2 linked regions of the Drosophila melanogaster genome follow. The protein of the gene in region 1 interacts with the protein of each later gene in a pairwise test. Each region holds a gene or a part of one and is shown in the gene's direction. Other genes may lie near its edges.

Region 1 (6,516 bases):
TCGCCGACGGGCATTTGTACAGCGCCACCGTGGCGGACTTTTCGGGTGGAGATCCTCTCATCTACAGGGAGAACCTGCGTACCGAACAATATGATCTCAAGCAACTCAACCAGCCGGACTTTGTTGGCGCCATCGAGCGCAACGGTTACGTGCTGTTCTTCTTCCGCGAACTCTCAATGGAAGTCATGAACTTTGGCAAGGCCGTTTATTCGCGCGTCGCCAGGGTTTGCAAGAACGATAGAGGTGGTCCCTACAGTCACGGCAAGAGTTGGACTTCCTTCCTTAAGGCGCGACTCAACTGCTCGGTGCCCGGCGAGTTTCCGTTCTATTTTGACGAAATCCGTAAGTTTTAATAGACGTTTTGGATATTCTTTACAAAAATTATAATCTCAATTGTTGCAAACTCCATTTACAGAGGCCATTAGTCCGATTGTGGAGAGCGGATCCAAGTCACTGATTTATGCTGTCTTCACAACCTCTGTGAATGCCATTCCTGGCTCGGCCGTATGCGCATTTAACGTAGACGATATACTGGCCGCCTTTGATGGAGAGTTCAAGTCGCAGAAAGATTCACAGTCCCATTGGCTGCCAGTGGAGCGTGAGCAAGTGCCGAAACCACGTCCAGGACAGTGCGTTGAGGACTCTAGAACTCTGACCAGCATCGCGGTTAATTTCATTAAGAACCATCCCTTGATGGAGGAGGCTGTGCCAGCAGTGCACGGTCGTCCGCTGCTGACCAAGGTGAATCTGCACCACCGACTTACTGCGATCGCAGTGCATCCGCAGGTAAAGTCCCTAAGTGGAGCTTACTACGATGTTATATACAGTGGCACCGATGACGGCAAGGTGACCAAGTTCATCAATATACTGAGCACTCACCCGAACTCAACTGTTGATCGCCTGAAGACAGTGGTTATATCAGAGATGCAGGTCCTTCCACTTGGAACGCCAATTAGGGAATTGGTGATCTCCACTTCGAAAAACTCGTTGGTTGTGGTTAGCGATGGCAGCTTGGTTAGCGTGCCCCTGCACCACTGCTCTCACATTGTCGACTGTCTGGGCTGCTTAAGTCTCCAGGATCCCATTTGCGCCTGGGACTTACAGACACACGAATGCAAGAACCTGGCTACGAGTCAGCACAAGTTCGGAACAAAGACTTATTTGCAAAGCTTGAATAGCACCAAGAAAGCCGCTGCCTTGCTATGTCCTCATATTCCCCGAGATGCACCCGGTGCGGAAACAGTAAGCTTTGTTACCATGGCTCCACCGCCAACAGAGGAGCAGAAGCTTTTGTACTCCAATGTGGGCTCGTCGCAGGGCAATCAGCCAAGCTTGGAACAACAGCCAACTGGTGGCGATGACTTTGGTTTGAACAAGATCACCCTTACGTCCATGGATCCCGACGATATTATGCCGAATTTGAACGGTTAGTACTAATATTTATTTTCCTAGGAATATTGTGGTTTAATATTCGCATTTCGTTGACAGATCCCCAAAAGTCTACGGCCAGTGTAGATGAAATCAAATATGCTTCAACGCCCAGCTTCATGCTACTTACAACTATCGTTTTCTTTACCTTCCTTGTGGGTGGAATCGCAGGAATATGCTGTGTGAAGGCTAAGAGCCGCCTGATGGAGGCCCAAATGGATGAAAGTCACCGCAATCATTTCGGCAAGCCAATGTAAGTTTTATCTTGGAAGATGCAAATCCATATTGGACAATTCTAATTAAATGGTTTTGACAGGCAATTTAAACATCAAAATACTGGCAAAGACATCAACCTGTTAATGGGCTCCAATGCCTATACGACCACACAAAAAACACCTAATCTGGATTTAGAAAAGGATCGCAGTCATGAGTGCAAAAACTCCACGGAACATTTGGAAAAAGAGCTGCCCTGCAAAACGTCAACGCTGACAAAAGTGAAACGCACTTACATCTAGTGGCCTTGTGAGGGCAGCCAACTGCAAAATTAGTCGAATTTCTATACTCTAAAACATATTTTCGTTGTTTATGTTGCTGTTAGTTATAGTAACCCCCCACCCAATTTGCGAATAATGTAAACGACAGTCTCGGATGCGTTTGAAACGCATCCGAAAGATAGGAAGCAGAGCTGTTGCGTCTTTTTTACTTAGCTTGTATTGTAATTTAATTTGATGTAAAATTTGCGTAAGCTTAGTTTCTTTGTCAAAATTTAGTTAAATTTATTGACAACGTAGTGTGCGGGCTGCCGCAGCCTGGAGCTAACCCGAAGCATTCCGCATTCCCCTGACGTCGACCTTTGCTGTCCAAAATAGGAGTGCCGGCTCTTGGCTACGCAGCCCGATTGTGTCGCCCCTTATGTGTACTCTTAATGTATAATCTTTAAGTGCAAATATTAGAGCTGTACAAATTTAATCACATATCATGCATACCGAAATCGAACCCGAAGCGGACCAGCCCCAATTATTTCTCGAAATTCAATCGAATATTCAACAAGTATTTTGTTAGACTGAATGATTAATTATTCTATATGAGTTTGTTTTGTGGAGAACTAACAGAATGCGACAGAGACTTTAAAGCTCTATGCTTTGTGGCTAACAAAAGCGTAAAATTGTATCTAACATAAGCTCTATAAGGAATTGAACATAGAATGTAATTAAAAGTACGAACTAGGCTAAGAAACGAAGAAAACTTCTATGAGGCTGTTTGATAAGAACTGACACCGCAGCCCCCACATCATCAGATGGAAAAACGCACAAGAAAGCGAAAATAAATGAACACTGCAACAACAGCAAGCCTTATAAATAGTATAAAATCGTGTCGAATCTAGGCCTTAACGCTAAACTTGTAAGCTTTGGATGGAAATAATGAGCTTGGTTGGCAATCAACGTAAATCAGCATTTTAATAATTTTATGTTTAATTTCTAAGCTGTTGTCCGTCCCACTAAAGAAGTTGCATAAATACAATGTACAATGGCAATTTTATTTTTAAAACGTGTAAAATGCAATTTTCATCGTAATTAATATATTTTTATACGTATATGTACGCCTAATGTCTAAATCTTAACATAAGAAAGTCTTAAAAATGGAAAATCCCGATAAAAGCTATATATAAAATATTTTTAAATCTTACAAAAAAAAACGTAATGTAATGATTTCTCATATTGTGATAGATTTTATTGAAATTTTAGAAAGATGAAATGATATGCCTTTTGGTTGAAAAACAATGATATATATGACGAACGAGTCTGATTGCATGCATGATAATATTGCGTAGGAATGGGTCTTCCACTCGGAGGATCAAGAACCAGAGAAAACCCTTCATGGTGTTTAGTTTTTATTACTGTGTATGTCCTTGTAATGTGTATATTGTTGTATACATCCGATAAGCAATTCGTAAATCTAATAAAGTCGTCATTTTTTTCATAACTCAATGTGGTCTTTTAATAGGTTCGGATCTATGAAACATTGAATTTTTACAGCAAATATGGTTTGGTTATATTTATTGAAATCAATCATTTTTCCAATAAAGGCTAATTTCAAAATTTGAATAGTTTACGATAAAGCCTTTCGCGCCGAAAAATGATCGATAACTTCTGATATGGCTCTACAATACATCAGCCTCGTGATTTTCTGAATAAGATTCAACGGTCACACCAGGCACTACACTTTTGGCGTGTTGCACATTTCAGTGTTTAATTAAAGTAAAAAGCCCAGGTCGCGGTTATATAACAAAATGAACAGCCTAAGGACAGCAACCATGCGATTTGCCGCTCTGGCCAGCTCCAGTGCCGGATCTCTCGGCAAGCGCGATTTCACCCGCAGCCTGTGGCACATGACCAAAAAGCCGGTGACAGCCGGAGGATCCGATCATGTAACCGTGTTGAATCTCCACAAGCCCAGCATTAATTGCACGTGCGGCTGCAACGTGCACACCAAATGTAAGTTAACTCAACAAATTCTTACATGGGCGGTCCATGCCGCCGGTTACATAACCTCAAACGTTGGGTGACGAAATGTTGACCAAAACACAGAAAATTAAACGCTTTGTTTATATCCAGGTGAGCGGGAACTGGTGGAGTTCCTCACCGAGGAGATAGTGGCCGAGCGCAAGGTTCAAAAGGGCAAGACGGTGCCAAGCACCCTGGATGGATTCGCCGTAAAACTGACCGGCGCCGATGTGGAGCTCACCAAGCAGACGGATAAGGAAAAGGTGGTGGTCAGCTTCAATGTGAACCATACGGTGGACAGCGAGGAGGAGCCCGAAATCAACCCCAATGCTGACAAGCCGGATCTCGGTGAAATGAGAAGCAAGCCCCAGTTCGAGGTGGACATCATAAAGGGCAACTCTACGCTGTCCTTTACCTGCAGCTTCCTTCAAGGCGAAGCTCAGGAGGGCGAGTACAGTGAGTACTTTGACAGAAATCGTTTTGATTCACCGATAACACAGGTTTTACCTTTCAGACGATGTCTTCTCCATTGATGAAATGGCCATCTTCGAGGGCGAGTGGAACGATAAGGTCTACGCCGTCGCAGGCGACGTGCTTGACGGTTACTTGTACGACTTGCTGATCAACTTGCTGGAGGAGAAGGGCATCAGTCAGGAGTTTGCCGAAAAACTGTCGGACCTAGCCACTGCCCATGAGCACACTTCCTACATTGGTCTGCTGGAAAAGCTCTCCAAATTCACTGCCGGTGGCAAGTGAATGTTCGTCCCACTTAATCTTAAAGCATAAAGTTGTGTAGGTTTTTAAGTTTCTATTGTCTGCTGTCGCAGTTTCATCACCTAAAACAGTTTTTATTAGTTGTGTTTTTGGTTTAACTGTGACAGTGAAACTTAGTTTTTAAGCCATAAAACATTCATACATGTTTCAGATAAAACTATAGAAACGGTTGCCAATAATTCACCCTTTTCGGCATCAGCTTCGCTTTGGTTTTTAACAAATACAACGTTAATTCCCTAGTTTTTTTTTTTGTTTATTTTCTTTCTATGGTTGCATCGATTTTTCGTAAAGATTTTCCTGTGGGTTGAGTTTCGTGATCATTTAGAACTGCCGGAAATATGGCCTGGGATCGTAGTCACTTGGTCGGTATCCTCCCCAGTCCTCGTGGTTCTTGCAGGCGGCGCAGATGAGGAGAGCGAGGAGCACGAGGATTGGCAGCAGTTGCATCTTGATTAACGGCAAGTTAACTTTAGATTGTGGTGCTGCAGCTTTTAATGCTCCTCTTTATAGGTGAGATTGCCTCACCTTATCGTTGAAATAGTGACCTTTCTCTTGGGGAAGTACTCCGATCTGTTTATTGGGCGATGGGATTTACCATTAATGTACGACCTATATGTGTTATTGTTTCACAATAAGCAGGATTATCAGCGTGGAGGCCATGTAATGTCATACTTTGTCATTAAGATGGATTTTATATATTTCGTTAAAAAGCTTTTTTTTATACGACCAATAATAAGAACTGCGACCATTACCTAATCATAGGCTTGTATATACTTCTAAGAAACTCAAAGACGGATTCTGTCTGAATATAACATTTTTTATAGTTCGCTACTTGAACTTATTTATAAAACATTCACTAAATAATTTACATAAGGATACGAGTCATGGAACTAAACCAAAGCTGCTTCTGGTACTTGGTAGACCTAGGCTGTTCCTCCACTCTGGTGTCGGCGCTGATTACCGGTGAGGTCATTGTGTCCCGGGTTCTGGCCCACTGTGGATTCAATGCCGTTGCCAGGATGCTGGAGCTGCGTAACGGGTCAACTTTTTGTCTTGGGTTGCGTCTTTCCGCCGGAACTACTCGCATTGTCGTACTCCGAGCCGGTGCAGTACTCAGATCCGACCTCCCGCAGCTCAATCTTTTGCTCCCTCATGGCGCGCTAAAGGTCAAAGATTGGGTCAACCAGCTGGATGATGAAACTTGAAACCTGGGCTTACCTTGACGCACTCCTGATAGACCCGGAAAATCGGCGCGCAGCCCGAGTCATCCGTCTGGCCCTTAAGGAAGCCTTCCGAGAACCAGCTGTTGAAGCAGGCGTCGTACTGCTTCTTTAGCTCATTGCAATCCTCGCCAATGCTGTTCATTTGTGGAGTGAAGCTCTTTGAGTTTCAGTTATAATTTCTCTATTGAATAATAAGTCGAAAAAAATGTGAGAATGGTTTGTGTGAGGGTCATACTACAGATAAGCTATCAGAGATGTGGGACACAGCATATCGATGTACGTTTCGTTGAAACTGAACGTGCTATCGAAATTTGAATTTTCAATTCTTTAAGAACATCTAATTTATTTTAATAAAGGCACTCTGGTTATAACGAAATCAGTTGTCCATGTTTCATGATGATACTATTAACAGTCAAAGTACTACGAAATGTTTCTCTTTACAAGTATTTTGTAGCGCGTGCAGCCACCAATTAACGCTGGCGAGGATTAGGATGGCTATATGGAGCAGCTTACGGGGTCAGCTTTCGCCCGCCTGCTGCTGTTTTGCATCAGATCTATTCGCATTATTCTCCTCAAGCCCGGTTTCG
Region 2 (7,345 bases), on another chromosome or scaffold:
GAGCAGAGGAGCTCGCCTAGCCGTGCTAATCCCCGAGCGAACAGCTGTCCGGCCCAAGGATTGTGCATTGTGGGTCCCTATGTGTGATTCCTCGGATTTCCTCAAAACTCGGCCGCTCTGTCCTGGCGCTATCAGTGTGCGGCTTGTGATTCAAGATTACCTTTTCCCTACCCACTTTTCACTTTATCTAGATGTCCTTGCCGCCGCACGTTTCTCCAACGATGGCCAGCGGAATGGGATCCTGCACAGAGAGGAAAAGGATATACATTAGTTTAGATTTATGGGCACATATTTTATTAAGATTATGCGGAAACTTCAGTTAACTGGATTATTCTAGTAACAGGCATTGAAGAATTGTTTGAATATTTACTATATCATTCAAGACTGATTTTTAACCATTTTCAAATCAAATATTATGTATTATACAGAAAGATTCCATTAGCAGCCAAAGTTTGTCTTCTTTTTAAAATACCTATAGTACTAAAACTTTTATTTATGAAATTGTTGTTCAAATTCGAAAAAACCCAGAGCTAGATTTTTTCGACGTGTGTAAGAAAATGCCATTGATTGGGAAAAGCGATTGGAAAACGGTAGCAAATCGGAGCGTGAAGTCTTAGACTTATGAAAAATTGCACAATTGTTGGGCAATTTATTAGCGGCTGGGCTGGAGGAGGAACTGGATGATGGGAATGAAGAAGCGGAAAGGGGCTCCTCCTGCCCTAATTTATCTTCCTTGTCACCCTCTCCTTATTTTTCTTCGTAGCCTGCTCTGGCTGTCGCTCATCGATCCCTTCGGCATTATCCTTGGGCCTTTTTGGCCAGTGACCAATGCGTTAAATTGCCATTGATTCGGGAAGGACTGGCACGGATTATTATTGGAAAGATCACAGATCTTCGGGCACGCAGCTGCTGCTGGCCATCTTCCTTGATCTCCGCCCAATATTATTGATTTATTTCAATTTGCTTCGTTTTTTTCCCGAGATTTATCGTTGGTCACTCAGCTGCTGATCCATGTCCAGAATATTCACGTTTTATCCATATGAATGGTATGGAAAATTAGGGCCAGTTCAATTTGGTCTGGGAAGGTAGTGCCCCCCTTCCGAATGTCAATTTAGCGAAACGAAGGTTTGAGATTTATTTGAATAAACGTTTGTGGGAAAAAGTCGTAAAGAACTCAAATTGGTTCAATATGTCTAATATATATATATGCAGCAATGATTTTTCCTTAAAATAGGTGGATATTAAATACTGTATTAAAAAAGAAAACGTTCTGTCATCTTATGATGGTATTTAACCTATGAAGATGTCTTGTATTTTTGGAAATTCCCTTTGGGACTGATATATTTACGATCTCATTGTTTGAACTCGATGAACTCACAACACTTGAGCATATTTAATTGTGCCACCACCAGTTGCAATAAATTGTATCCTATAGCACTTGGTGGTCCGGAACTGCAGTGTCATATGAAATGCTAAAGCAGGTCCTGGCACTTCCTCAGCGAACAAAAAGTTGTGTTTAGTTTTTGCACAAAAACTGTCAAATAAATTTAGCAAGCAATAATATGGCGAAAGCAAATAGTAAAGATTCCAAAACTGAAGAATTGGGCAGATGTACGGTTGAGATTTAATTCTATTTTTCTCAAACGGACAATCGGCGGCTGCGAAAATATCATAAATTTGAGATCAGCAGAGAAAGCAGGAGGGAAAGTGAGGGAAGGTAGGAGCAGGACGGACCGGGAGCCCTTTAACCAATAAATTGCAAAACAATTGCACAATTTTCCACAACAATTTCCACAGGACAGCGATGTCCCATAAACAATGGGCCAAATTTGTACAATGCCCAAAGTTCCTGTTTGTGTTGTCCTTTTCTTGGCGAAAATCGTGAGAGAAGGAAGGAAAAATCGGAAAGAATTGCCTTGCTAGGGTCTAACGACTATAAGATACCTATTATTTAAACCTTTTATATATTTATGTTAGAAAAAGTTGGCAAATGATGCAAAACAGTTTCATCAATTAAACTAAATAATTGTAATCATTATTCCGATGAACTTGTTTAAACAACAACAGAAAGTCTTTTCAATATCAAATGAAAAACTAAAAATCCTTTAAGACCCAATGTTTTGTTCTAACTTCCTGTAACCCACACAATCACAGGTCTAGCATACTCTCAGGATCCCAAAAAAAACACAGGGTATCTTGAGGAGTCCAAGGTGAAAGGAGCCACACGCTGCGAGAAAGGTAATTGAAAATTATGTTTTGTGGCGCAAGCGGCGATGAGAACAGCTGTCCAACTATGCTCCGTCCCACTCACACGCTTCACAAGCGCCGTCCCTTTCTTGTTGCACGTAGGAATCCTTGGCCAACTGATCATGATCCTTCTCGGTGGCCAAATAAAAAATCTCACGATCGTGGAAAATTCGCACAGCTGTTGCCAGATCGTAAATCGATCGGTAAACGGTTATAAAAACTGAACATCAAGATAACGTTAATGTAGATCAAAGCGCAGCCTTCTGCTTTTCAATTTGTATCGCATTATCTAATAAATAGAAATATATTAGATAGTTTTGGGAAGTACGAGTCTACGAGAAGAGGTAATTGTATATATATATATATATATATACCAGATTCGATAAAAGGTATTGAAAGGGTATGCTTTTAGTTATAGTTGTTATCATGGGAAAAGTGAGAAATACGAATATTACAACTTATTTAAATAATTTATATTATTATCAATGTTGCAAAGTATCTTGCATAAGTTATTAAAGTCAAGTGGACTGATATCAGATGCGAAATACCTTTAATTACTATAACAACGAGTGGTCTCCCACCACCCGCTTTCAATGCCGCCGGTTGAACGTGCCTGCCGTTCAACTGCCTGATCTCTCCGCTCTCGCTCTCTTCCCTCTGCGCATGAGCAACATGTCCGTTCGTCGCCTTCTGCTTTCTCCCGGTTAAGGCGGCTAGCCAGTCAGTCAACCAACAACCGGCGAAGGGAACGCACGCAGTCGATCTTTGCCAGAAAAACGCGACGGTTGAAACGCAACACTTGGCAAAAAAAAAGCACTACATATACAAACTACCAAATAATCAATTCTTAAAATAAATCCGCGAACCATTTATTTTATTTTTTTGCTGTTGGAAATAAATATCAGTGCCGAAAAAAATAAACTACTGAAAAAGGTAAATTCAAGTGAACATCTAAAGATGACTGAAACTAAAAATGCAGTCATGTACAATGAGATCTAAAGGCTCATAAAAATAAATGGATATACCTAAAATAAATTACTTAAGTGCCTGTAAGATTCATGAATTCATTCATTAATGGTTATGAATATCTTTTCAAATAATTCCCAACATAACTGGATCAATGCAATTATAAATGCACAAAAATTCAATTTTTCGGATAACTTGTGATTTTTGGTTTTTTGGTATCCACTCAAGAGCCAAATTTGAATGCAACCTAAAAGTTCATTAAGATTTCATAAGAATAATTGAGCATATCAAGTTCAGAGTCAATTAAATTATTAAGGTCCAGACCAAAGGCTGCCCGTCGTCCATTTAATTGTCCGTGAGAGGAGTGGTTGATTTCGTTTTTGATTTCATTTTTGCCGCTTCGCTGATTTCGCCAAATCGATACACATCCATATACATATGTACATATGCATGTATATATGTATGTTTGTCTACATGCACATTTATCGCGGAAAAAGCGCGCCAAAATTGCCGAAAACTCGCCCGACAACTTTGCCGCTGCCCTCTTTATTTATTTGCTCCTTAAGAAAGTCAAGTTCTGGAATGCCAGAACCAGAAATACCCGCCCCCTTCCTAACCAGATTCCTTTGCTCTTTCCTTGCAGCACCCACTACAAAACCGAAAAACTAAAACTTCAGACAAAGAAGATGCTCAAGTGGGCCGTCAACCAGCCACGACCCTCGTACTTGGCCAGGGATGAGGTGATGGCCACCAGCAGCGAGGCAGTCGGCTCCAGCTACAGCGAGTTCCACGCCCTGCGTGGCAAACTCAAGAGGAAGTCGATCGGAGTGGCGCCAGGCAAGGAGAACCAGCTGACCTCCACGCCACTGCCGGCCAGCTCCTTGAGCCTCCATGCGCGCACACCACTGCTCAAGGACCTCAGCAACATCCTGGCCACGCCGCCATCGGGAGGAGCAAGTGGCGCTAATGGGGCAACTGGAGGTGTAACTGCTGTTCCCCTGAAGTTCGCCTGCACACTGCCCACCTTCGAGGCGGAGTACTCGCCCAATGCCGCCATCATTCCTGGCTCCCTGATCGCCCTGCGCGGCATGGGCATCCCGGACAGCTACTTCGAGAAGCCGCGTTACCTGGAGCAGAAGCCACTACCACATCCGCATCCGCATCCAGCACCTCCGACCGGCGAACAGAATACGCTCAGTTCCAGCCAGATGGGCGATGTGACCCTGGAGCGCATGATCGATGCCATCCTCGAGAGCAACCGCAAGGTGCTGCCCAACGCCAGACAGCAACAGCACCAGCATCAGCACCGCCAGCCCAGGCAGCATCTCCGCCAGCGGCACAGGCTCAGGCAGCAGGTGCTCCGGAGCAGCCACGGACACGGGCACGGCCCCACCCAGACGCCATCGCCCACCTACCGCCCCGCCTTCGATCCGGCCAGCGATCTGTGCGAGTACTGGAAGTCGCCCTCGCGGAGGGATTCCCTGCCAGCGGAGGGCTTCGAGGAGCGGGAGGTGCGCTCCCCCGTGCCCACCGTATCCGAATCGCAGGATGCCAAGCGGCATTCCCTGCAGCTGCGCAGGCAGCGGGTGGTGCGGCGCAAGCGAAAGATCACCACAAAGATCTCCTCCAGCGTCAGGCAGTCGGCGCAGAAGCTGCTTGCAGCGGCCAGGTCCGGATCCATAGCAGCTCCCGCCCAGAAGATGCGCCACATCAGTCCGGACAGTGGGCACAATTCCACCAGCGACTGCGAGCTGGAGGAGGAGCACTGCCAGCTGAGTCGCGGACTGGAGTTGGGTGGCGAGGAGCTGGAGGATGCCTGTCAGCTGGATGCCATGTGGTTGCAAGTGCAGGCCAGAGACGCCACGAAGAGACGCCTCAGCTTCTCCCTGGTGGAAGAAAGCTAATCCTCAAGGATATTCCTATACCATAGGCATAAGACATTTTTTTCATAGCCCTAAGAACGTTTTTTTTTTTTTTAATTTTTTGGCCAGAATAAATCATTTGGAATGCAGAATGTACGAAAAGAACCAAATTCACTGAGGGGCACACTGTCATAATTCGGTTGAAACCACAAGGAACCACCAGCAGTTTATGCTAAACACCTCTTGAAGCTCAGCGGTGCGTGGAAAGCAATTCCTCCAGAGCAGAGGGTCTGGGTCTTCTCATCCGTCTGCCCAAGTGGTCTTCTTTCTCACAGCGAGCTGGTTAATGAGCGTTTTAATGCTCCGATAGCGAGCTATAGGGGATTCCTCGGCAACATGGAACATAGAACTTGGCGGTAATGAGGGCCCTAAAAGGAAGGGGTTGTGCGACAATTGTCGCAAGAAAAAAAATATTATTTACGCTTCAAATGCCCACGAATTCGATGGGCAGGCAGCCAGCCAAGTTATGTGCGATCTAACGCGATAAGGTCTAGTACCTGGAAATGGAACAGGTATCACTTGCTCGGAACTCCATTCGAGTGTTATTAGCTCAAAGCGACCTTTGGAAAAGGAAGTTGCCTAACTTTCACCCGGGAAACTGCGATTTACCACTGCTTTCAGCGGAAACTATTCTCTGAAGGTATCATAAAATCATAGTGATGAGTTATGAAGCAAACCCAGTTTCGTAGATAATCCTTACATAATTAAGATACAAAATTTGTAGCCCAAAAACGAAATATAACTCGTTAGCGAACGGTTTGTATAACTAGGCTTCCAGCTGAGATGGAACCTAGGCCATTCCCACAGCTCCCGCTCCCCAAGGATCGCATCCCGCCGTGCGAGCCTCATTAGCCCATTAGCCAACTGGTCAGATGGATGCCAAGGAGCCCGGCCAGGCACCAACCATCCAAGGCCATGCGATCGATGGGTCAGCAATCCACTTCTGCGACGCGGCGTTAAATGAGCTGTCATAACATTTTGTCCAACCCTTGAGACGAAAGGAGTGGGTTAAGCCAAAAGCGTTAACACGTCTGCCAAGGAACCACCAATCCACATTCACATCCACTTCCCATGGCAAATGCTCAGTAGAGCGTGAAACTTTCTTATGCAGATGATGGGTTGACCATCAGTGCAGAGTACATTGTGCCATGTGACAGGGAAAACAAAGTAAAATACTTTATTATGTGATACCCGGCGAACTCCAGAACTCAAGTTTCGATCGCCGAACTAAGGTCGAGCGGTCAAGCAGCCCGCTCCAGGGAATATTCGTGATATACATGCAAATGTACATATGGATAACCCGCCGAAATCAGGGCAGGTCCCTTGTCAAACCCTCGTCCGCGCTCTGAACTTTTCCCAAAATTTCCCAAAAGGAATCGTTAGAAGAAGAAGAAGGTTCACGCCGTTGTAGTTACTTTATTTTTTATGACTCTCGCTTTTCTTTAGTTTTCCACAATGCGCTGCTCTGGTCTCCTGCCCATTATTATTATTATTATTATTATTATTATTATTATGGTTGTTGTTGTTGTTATCTGGTTCTTGTCCGTCCGGCTAATGACCGCTTCCGAATTGTTCCATGTTTTCATTCGTCAGCGCCCAGTTTTCCCGCTCCGGACGGCAACGTCTCATTAAACATGCATTTCTTTAATTTCGTTTTGATTGAAAGTGAAACGGATACTTACCCCTAGTAAGTACCTAGCTGGGATTCTTGCCACCACATATCATATCATTTTATACATATCTTCCGGTTTCGGATGGTTGACGAGTAATGAGTGGAGCGTTAGTCGAAGCAGAGATCCATAACGATAGGGAAAATCTGAAAATGTACAAATAATTAAGTGCGTTTCCTTAAGGTTTTATAGCTAACAAAATGTGTGCGTTTAAATGCGATTATAACCTACTTTAAGAATATAGTTTTATTATAATTGTAGTTTCTTAAAGTTTGCTAACAAATTTTTAATTTCAACTATATTTTTCTTTGACTGAATCTTTATGATACCAAGACACCTAATTGATATATGAAACGTGTCAAATTGAATTGAAATGTGGTTCCCAATTCCATGTTGTGGACACACTTTGGTCGAGAACAATGAAATCCATCGATCTGCACTCAATTCGAAACCCATTTTGTGAAAATTGAGAAAATTGTGAAAAATCACCCATTAAAAGCGGGCACACTCCAAAACTCTAATTGCGATTTAAACGTTTCT

What was found. The genes of interacting proteins can lie anywhere in the genome.
Region 2: the proteins of P32 (region 1) and CG12708 interact in a two-hybrid assay, tested with the Drosophila melanogaster proteins (2 studies listed by BioGRID).

Annotation. Positions count from the first base shown.
Region 1 is NT_033778.4:17,669,737-17,676,252, reverse strand, and holds P32 (P32), read left to right. Parts: upstream 1-3,612; 5' UTR 3,613-3,718; coding exon 3,719-3,923; intron 3,924-4,043; coding exon 4,044-4,388; intron 4,389-4,446; coding exon 4,447-4,688; 3' UTR 4,689-4,944; downstream 4,945-6,516. Other genes in the region: Sema1b (semaphorin 1b), read left to right, coding at 1-342, 416-1,426, 1,489-1,681, 1,745-1,943; IBIN (induced by infection), read right to left, coding at 5,028-5,153; CG30109 (uncharacterized protein), read right to left, coding at 5,747-5,866, 5,925-6,071; CG30108 (uncharacterized protein), read right to left, coding at 6,447-6,516.
Region 2 is NC_004354.4:15,672,508-15,679,852, forward strand, and holds CG12708 (uncharacterized protein), read left to right. Parts: upstream 1-2,968; 5' UTR 2,969-3,180; exon of another isoform or gene 3,181-3,296; intron 3,297-3,856; 5' UTR 3,857-3,899; coding exon 3,900-5,117; 3' UTR 5,118-5,230; downstream 5,231-7,345.